2 linked regions of the Drosophila melanogaster genome follow. The protein of the gene in region 1 interacts with the protein of each later gene in a pairwise test. Each region holds a gene or a part of one and is shown on either strand. Other genes may lie near its edges. The genes, in order: sisA and dpn.

Region 1 (3,162 bases):
GTATAGTGTTTCTTTATTGTCCGAAAATGGAAGCCCTAGTTCAACATTTGAGTATATAGAAATAAGAGTATATACATATTTCCTTGAGTCATCCAATTCAGCTAGAGTATTCCGGCCATCGGCATTCCCAACTTATTCTCAAGCTGAAAACTGTCAGGCTTCAAGTGTTCCTGCGGGGTTTGGTTTGGTTTTGGGTGGCCAATTGGGATTTGGTCGAAAATGATTATAAATGGTTTTTTAATTATACTTGTCTGCATATTTTCTCATTTGCCAAACAAACGCGGCGCTGTCGATTTTATTGTTCACATGGCAAATGGTTAATGCCGAATGGAAAATGGTAAAATGCGAAAAATGGAAAAATTATTGCCCGTCTGCCGCTGACAGCTTGCCCCCATCTGGCTGAAATGGGGGATTTCGAATTAAAACTGCTTTCGGTCACTAAAAATACTCAATTGTTTTGCCAATTACCCAGCGGAGTTATTTATGCCAGTTATGTAATTCGAGTGGCACACATGTGCAGCGTTGTAAATTGAAATACATGAAAATGGAGCAAGTGGAAAGTATATTTTGGGTACTTGCAGTGTTATAACATTTTACTGCTTTTTGTTCAACAATTAATTGGTTATTTAATTAGCATAAGTTGCTGCTTGCGTCATATTGTTCTATAATATTGCTAGTTAAATATTACATTACATCAGCCAGAGATAGCAACTATTTATGGATTTTGAGTTTGGTCCACCAAACTCTATTACATATTATTCTCAGCCAAAGGGATTTCTGGTTTAACCCTTTGAGGCCTGCTAAGCAGGTCGCTGAACCCCTCATCGTTTCGAGGGCTGTTAAATTAATTAATAGACTAAATGCGGTCGGTTCGGCTGGTTAATCCCACGACAACAAGCCGCAACTTGTTTGCCACCACGTCGAAAGTGGCTCCTTGAAATGGCTACCTGATGCGGGAAACCCACTTCCAGATGGGTTGATCCGGAATGGACAAATAGCAACTTTAGCAGGTAGCAATGGCAATCGATATTGGTGTCTCTTATCGCATAATGCCGCCTGATCCCACCCGCTTGACATGCTCGTATTTGCCCAAGCAGGTTGATTTTCCACATAGCCCAACATTTGTTGACTCATTTCGGCTGCTAGATAAGGCGCGAATCGGCAAATGGATGGTGATAGACGAACAGCCCAGCTTGACCTTGGGATTATTGTGGATTTAATGACGCCCTTATCAGTTGCATTGAATCGTATCTCTTGGCTTAGAATATCTTTTATATTATGGGGAGTATTTGCATACCGACATACATATGTATGTAGGTAGCCATTGAAGAAACCCACATATTGGTTCGCACCTGATCCTTTTGTTTTTAAATTTGACCAATTATCAGGTAGACTCAGTGCGTCTGCTACCCTAATCCCTTTGTTTACATATCTGCGATTCGTTGGCCAATCCGGATGCAGGTAGGCGGTGTCCAGCAAGGCGACAAGATTGAGGAAAACAAGATCATAAATCCCAGTGACCGCCATTCATGAAGGTAGAACCCGCGAATAACCCATCCAGTGTCCAATGGCAAGCTACCTGCGGAAATGGTATAAAACGGGGCTGACATATTGCCTAAGGCAGCATTAGCACACGAAATCTCGACGAGAGCAGTCACAGACCACGTCACACATCGAAAAAAATCACCATGGAACGGAGTCATCTTTACTTGCCCACTCTGAGCTACGCGGCCATGGGTCACGTATACGCACCGTATCGCGGAAGCAGTTCACCCGCACTATCGACAGCATCGTCAACATCATCGAAGCCGGAGCAGATCGAGGAGCTGGTGTCCCAGCAGCTGCATCATCTCAAAATGCACTACGCCGACGAGGAGCAACGCTACGTAGACCAGATGCTCCTGGAGAATCCCATTGTTGTGGAGCGCCGTGCACCGCCGCCGCTGAAAACGGAGCTTGCTATGGATTGCCGCGGATCGGGTTCCGGATCAGGTTCCGGTTCTGGTTCGGATGTCAAGGATGCCCAGCGTCAGAGGGCCGAGTCGTGCCGCAAATCCCGCTACAACAACAAGATCAAGAAGGCCAAGCTGCGCTTCCGGCACAAATTCGTCAGCGGGCAGCTGAAGAAGAGCGCCGTCATGTTGGACACGATGCGGGATGTGATTGCCCAGGCGGAGAGGCAGCTGCTCGAGCGGGGATATCCCGCCGCCACACTCGAGCGGATGCGGGCCACTTTCGGCCTGGAAATGGAGCAGTGATATCATAGTGTAGCTATGTGTCGCAGGAACGGATCCCTGACTAGTCCAGCATTAGCCATACCACTTTTTTTTTTTGTTGACTATATCTAGTATTTATCTAAGCATATTATTAAATTTTTAAATAAAATTAAGAATCATATTGAAAACGAATGCTTTCTTATTCAAATATTTGTTATAGGTTCACACGATCATATGGAGTCAAGGATAACTTGTTAATTTCACTTTACAAGAATTTCCCATAATTTGGATGCATTTATTCTGCATTTAACGCATCGGCAGTCTTGGGGTTTCCTTCGCCTGGCCGAAGGTAATCCCATCGGAATTGGGCCAATGCAATGCACCCATTTCGACTTGCTTAAGTTCAGTTCATTTGATCCGACATGATTGCACTTCGCTTTCCCCGTTTCACGTTTTTCCCCCTTTCCATTCTTTTTTTCCCTTTTTTTTTTTGGCTTGCGAACAATTTGCGTTGCCAAAAGCAGCAAATGCAATGGAAGTAATGGCCTTAAGAGCAGGTTTCTGTAAGAGATTGTGGCTAAATTTAGTGGGGCTACTACTGCAAATAGCACCCCACTTTCTGGTTGGTGTTTTCATTTAAGAACTGCGAACTGAACTTGGAAGCTTTACTAAATGCTTGCCAAGGGTATATACTATGTATATATATATACAATATAATTTTAATAACTACATATATTTTTTAAGTAATTTCTCATAATATCTTGATGTCTGCGTAATGAGAAGGATAAATATAGATACTTCTGATTGTTTTTTACCCCAAAAAGTTATTCTATTTCACGCCGTATCTTTTCAACTCTTTAGGTATCAGTTAGTCGTTACTACTGTTCACAGATATTTTTTAATAGCACAACATTAAGAATGAATGGAGGAGCAAATAATAGGAATG
Region 2 (5,928 bases), on another chromosome or scaffold:
GGGCTTCCAGTTCCGGGGTGTGGGTACCAGCGAACAAGGCCTGCATGTAGATGGTGGAGATCTTCTCCAGAGCGCCATCCAAGGTGTTCAGAATGGTGTCCTCGGGATCGTGTAGGAGCTTCACAGGACCCGTGAGCTTTGGAGAAGCACGGTAATGGTGCAGACCATCTTCAGAACTAGATGCCAAACTAATAGCTGGCAGGATCGCCACAGTTAGTAACACTTGAAACAGATTTCCTGGCATGGTAAAATTAAAATTTTTCAATTAAATTGTTTTTATAATTTCTGAGATTTTTCAATGCACGCCTGAAAGTCACTGCGCGCTCTTGATTGCAATAATTTAGTTTTTGACACACTAAATGTGTTCCGCCTATTGCTTATATAGCATGGATTGGGAGCTTTCGATTGAGTTATCTTTTCAATCAAACTTTGCGAAAACATCGAACATACATGATAAGGCTGTTTCCGTATTGATTTGAATTCAGCTTCCGACTTTTCAATGAGTTCAAGTACTATTGATTGTTGATGCGATCTTGAATTTTCCAATTCTAATCAGTTAAGAACCAAGGAACCATTAAATTTGGATGGATTTTTCTTTTGCAGCATTTTTTTTTTATTATCATTATTTTCACTCCATCGAATTTTGCATTACCTAAAAGTTAAAATTACAATCGTTAAATTAAAACACTAATATAGAAACGTGAATGACCTAATGATAAACGCTATACAATGAAAACTACATAACTTAAATAGAAACACGTTTAATTGTTTAAATACTTGAGCAGTTAATGAAACATTAAAGAACATAATTATTTAATGAACTACATAATAGTCGTATAAAGCGCTTAAACGAGAACTACACAAAAAATATACAAAATCACAGCTGAACTTAAAATGAAGAAAGCGAAACGGGGATACATAAAAACATATAGAAATCGTTGAAACTTAATGGGGTTCTAAAGCATTGAAGTGATCTTTGAAAAAATTGCAATGAAATAAATTAACAATGTATAAACGTAACATAGAAGTGGCCTGTGCGGTTGATCTACCACGGCCTCCAAGCGGAGCTCGACTTTTCGATGGCGCCAGCTAGGAATTTCTTGGACGAGGGCTCGTCCAGGGAGCAGTCGCTGGACTCGGCCTCCGCCTCCCTGTCGCGCTTGGCGATTCCGCTGGTGGAGCTCACTTGCTGTTGCTGCAAGTGGGCCAGCGGTCGCGAGCATCCGCTGCTGTCGTGGCTTCCGGCACTCAAGTTGAGGGATCCGCTGGTGTTGAAGGAGGTCTCCGCGCTGGTTGGTGGCGGAGTTGAGAAGACGCCGGCGAAACTGTGCTTGCTCATCACATCCACGGTGGGCGAGGCAGCCCGGGACTCCTCGCAGTGGCTGGAGATGGAGGAGATTGGGCTCAGCGGTGGGCTTGTGCTGTTCTTCACCGGCAGCTGCGTTTGGCCGGGCAGTGTGTGGATGAGGTTTTCCGGAAGATTGGCCGGAACTGAGGTATTGACCGGTTTGCTGAACGCGCTCATCCTGAAGCTCTGTGTATAGTCATTTAGATGTGTGGGATTGGCAATGCTGGCCAAGGCGGCACTGGCTGTTCCAGCTGCGACTCCCGCTGCAGATCCTGGCCAGGCAAAGGGTCCCGGAGGCGGAGCAGCGGAACCTGTGTTCGGCATGATGAGGGCAAACTCTCCCGAGGGCAGGCGGGAGGGAATTAGCTGAAGTCCACCCATTTGGATGGCCGGAGCCGATGACTCCGTGCGGCTGTTGTTGTTCAAGTCCTGCGGCAACGAGGGAAACAGCGGAGTGGGAGCAGCCGTGACAGCTGTGGCGGGAAACAAGCCACCACGGTATCCATTGCTGAAGTTGCTCATCGAACCGATCTGCTCCAGACTATTGGCACACTGGTTAAGATGGGCGCTGAGCCGCTGACGAACACCGGTATCGATGCCATCCATTTGGCTTACATAGCGGTTCACCTCCTCCGCGCACTCAACGAATCCCGTCTTGAACTTCTGGACAACGCTGGGATCCGATTGGATGGCCATGTTGAGCTGCTGGCGCTGCACCGACTGCAGATGCTTCACCGTCATCTCAAGTATGTCGGCCTTCTCCAGTTTGGTATGACGAGCCGGCTAAAAGTATAGAAGACGAAGGAACCAAAGTCAGATAATGATGAAATGGGGATGGGGTGGGAGATGGTCGGGCTAATTGTTTGGGGCCCTACAACAAGTTCAATAGCTTGGGAAAAAGCGAAGTTAAGAAGCACGTTTCGTGCCTCATATGTCCAACTATTCGCGTGTAATCTGCAGTCCACTTCAGTCGAGTCCACTCTGTAAATATCACACGACCAAGGTGAGATTCAGCAACTCCAGCGAGAAGAACGACTGATCTTGCTACTGTGCACTGAGCAAAAAGGGGGCTTAAAGTCAAATTTTCTGGCAAGTGAATACTAATGATGGAAAAGTGACTGTCTTTAGTAAGTGGTTCTAAAATAAACTACTCGCCGATCTTATCGTTTGTGATCTCATATGAAGACTTTTTGGGCACAGAAGATTCCAAATCGTTCTTCCTGATCTTCTTTTTTCGCGCAGTGCGATCTTCGCCAGTCTTCGGTCCCCGATTGTTCGTCCCTTTCTCGCCGCTGGGACTGCATATTTTAGCAAAAGGTTCCCACGCAGGTCGCTCGCCAGCCCCGCCCCCTCAACCTCCCCCGCTCCCCTGTCTGAACCTTTTGTTTACTTTTGCTTTTTTCCCTCAATGTCTTTCTTATTTGATTTTTGGTCCGGCTCTCCTGCAGAATTCTGCGGCGGCAAATTTTACTTGATTTCTGCTTTGTAGTTTCTCACAGCAGGATCACTCCTTGGAAACTGGTTTCGTTCGCATCTCCGGCGATTTCTGCGTAATTCCTCGACTTGTTAACACTTTTTGGTCTCTTGACTGACTCCTCGTCGGCGCTCTAGTGTAATGATCATCAATAAAATTTAATACTCAATTAGAGCCCTTGGTTTGTGTTTTTTTTTTCAGTTCTTGTGTCGTAGGAGTTCGTTTTTTATACATTTTTTTGTTCTTTTGTAGTTCTGCCGCCCTTCGGACACTTGTGCCTTAAAGGTTTTTTTTTGTGGACTAACATTATTTATAAGAAAGTGAACCAAAAGGGATCGGGGGCTAGTTTCTAATTCGCGGGCGGACCGCTCCTTTTCTGCTTTGACGCTCGGGCAAGATACTTACGTCTTTTTTCATCGCCTCCAGGATAAGGGACTTCAGTTCGTTGAGGCAGTGATTAATGCGAGCTCGGCGACGTTTCTCCATAATCGGTTTGTTGGTCTAGAAAAGAAAGGGAATCAATTAGTTTATTTCGTAGGAATTTATTTCAGTTTAAGGGATATCTTTGTTTATATAAAACAAGGGTTTCACTTGATTTTTAAAATTAATTTAATGCTTTACATTTTCTAAGCCATTAAAATGAAAAGGTTCAAAACGATCGAGGGTGCTAATAAACTCTGCTATTTTTTAGTTTGCGAGTCCAATTTCATCGCAAAAGAGCGAACTCACCTTTCTAAGTTCTGCTTTTGACAATCCATTGGGATTGGACATGCGTCCATTGGAGCCATAGCTGTCGCTATAGCCGTTGGAGCAGTCGAAATCGTCGTCGGAATTAATATCGTTTTTGTAATCCATTTTGTAACGATTTTAATTTGTATATCCAAGTGGGAGATAATCCAAGATAGTTCGATTTCGATTTGGTCTTTTTCACAACACAATAACTTTGGTTCGAGTACGAAAATAGTTATAACAATTATTGCACGTACTTCTTAGTAATGTCCGAACAACAAAAACTTAACAAGCGGTACGCGTTAAAGATCGTTCTGGTTATCGAATCGTATAGAATAGTATTTTAAATGTTCATTCAAAGGAGAGCGGCAGACGACCGCGCTCGCGAGATGCCAAAAGGATACTGATCCTCCGAGTCCACGGGCACCAGCTAAAAACGAATCGGGTCGAAGCCGAAACGAGTCCACGAGTGAAACCGAGGGACTCTCTTACCTGGCGACGCGGGCAGCGGCAGAGGCAGAGCTGAGGCAGGTAGGCAGCCCAACGATCGCCGTCCGCAGACTGAGAACTTTTCACCGCAGCAGCGCAGTTGCGCTCAATCGGAGAGTGAGTGAGTGCATAACCACCCCAAATCCAATGAGTTCACACTCGGAGTGAGATTTAAGTGAGTATTTGAGTAGGTATTCCCAGGCAGGCAGAGTTGCCGAGTCAACGAATTGCGGATTCCAGGGGATTAGTGAAAATAGGAGCTTAACTCAAGTAAACGAGACTAAGTCGAGCCTGATCGAGAAACAACACAACATTCGGTTAAGCCAAGTCATTAGCCTTTGGCTTGACGAAACCCACAAAATTTAGTTGATTTTATTGTAAAATACAGCAAGCATTGTATATTAAATAATTTTGAAGGAAATTAAGCATTAAAATCAATAACATATCATTAATGAATTTAAAGTTTATTACAATTTAACAAAAATTTATAACTGAATTTAATCTTCTAATTCGTGTCGAAGCCGACTTAATACCCAATCTATTTGTTTTAGAATATTCATATATTTAGCAATAATTATACAAAGCTACTATAAATCTTATGAATATTATTACTTTACTTTTTTTTACTTTTTACTTGCTTATTACTTTTAATGAATTGATTAAAGCAATAGTTAACAAAAATATGAACTATATTCAGAGAATTAACAGCGATTCTTCTTTAGTACTTGAAATTTGCTAAAGCAAAGCAAAAAATCTTTAGTTCCTTAAAAAATGTATCAAGTGAGATTTTCTATAAGTTATCAGTGAGTAGCATTATTTGCGACAGATGTTCCGTTTGTGTCCGTTTCCCTTTTGGGTGGCTGGCTGATGGCACATTTAGTCGCACAGATTTCACCCTTGGCAAGGACAAACTTGATCAATGCCCGGCGAATGATTTGCAATTCATTAAGGAGAACTCCTTGGCAATTGTTCGGCGCAGCTGCCGCAACCCCCGTGACAACCCAACCCCCTTGCAAGGCGAAATCCTTAGTTTCAAATTCTTCGCTTTTGCCTGGTCGGCTCATCGGCAGAAGCGTCTTAGGGGGTTGCTTGGGTTTCGGGACGGAATCGCGACTTGCAATGGATCGGAATCGGACCTGGATCGGTCGTGGGTCTGGGACTGAGGGTCGGGGTCAATCATTACGGAGCTTACCTGGCTGGGCCAATTTTTATAGTCGATCCCCGGCAGATTTTCCTTTTTCAGGCAAATTTATTACTTTACGATGTTGGCAGGATTACGACCAAAGGAGTTGTCAATAACCACTGACGCGGGCCATGCGCCAGCTGACAGCTGACGTAGATCTACCTATGGACCGATTTGGGGAGTTTTGGGTGGGATCGTAAACGTATTGCGCCGCCTGGCAACCCTGGTTGTGCAAAGTGATCCCTCGCGGCCTGAGCGTAAATCCCGTGTTGAGCAATAATCTGTGGCGATCATCCATCATGCACAAGCTCTGCAGCACTGATCCGATGTCAACTTTCGTAAATTGAATAAATGCCACGGCTACGATTGACCAACTAAAACATCCACAGCAACTAAACCATGGGGTTCGGCTGAATTCTGCACTGATGAGCACATCACCCTGCTTAATGGCGATCACTTTGGCTCCTTTGAACGCCGCAAATTTGGCAAACATTTTCCCACGAAACCCGAAATAAGCACGATGAGCTGGCAAAATGTAAAAGTGCCATGGGCCAGGGAGAAGAAACCTCAGAACCATCCGACATATGTGGATCAATCGTCTGGCGAAACGTGCAGAGTCTGCAGAGCTTCTTCAGAAACTGAGAATTGAAATTCTATAACGAAGAAACCAGTCAGAAATCAAAGTTCAATATCAGCCCCAAACGC

Evidence for each region.
Region 2: the proteins of sisA (region 1) and dpn interact in a two-hybrid assay, tested with the Drosophila melanogaster proteins (one study listed by BioGRID).

The regions. Positions count from the first base shown.
Region 1 is NC_004354.4:11,320,817-11,323,978, reverse strand, and holds sisA (sisterless A), read left to right. Parts: upstream 1-1,621; 5' UTR 1,622-1,688; coding exon 1,689-2,258; 3' UTR 2,259-2,400; downstream 2,401-3,162. UniProt on the Drosophila melanogaster protein: Involved in sex determination and dosage compensation. Required for proper expression of Sxl in embryonic somatic cells. Also has an essential function in the yolk nuclei. Involved in endoderm migration and midgut formation.
Region 2 is NT_033778.4:8,228,372-8,234,299, forward strand, and holds dpn (deadpan), read right to left. Parts: upstream 3,960-5,928; 5' UTR 3,678-3,959; coding exon 3,552-3,677; intron 3,324-3,551; coding exon 3,228-3,323; intron 3,218-3,227; exon of another isoform or gene 2,733-3,217; intron 2,695-2,732; exon of another isoform or gene 2,132-2,694; coding exon 1,046-2,131; 3' UTR 600-1,045; downstream 1-599. Other genes in the region: CG34217 (uncharacterized protein), read right to left, coding at 1-244. UniProt on the Drosophila melanogaster protein: Transcriptional repressor of genes that require a bHLH protein for their transcription.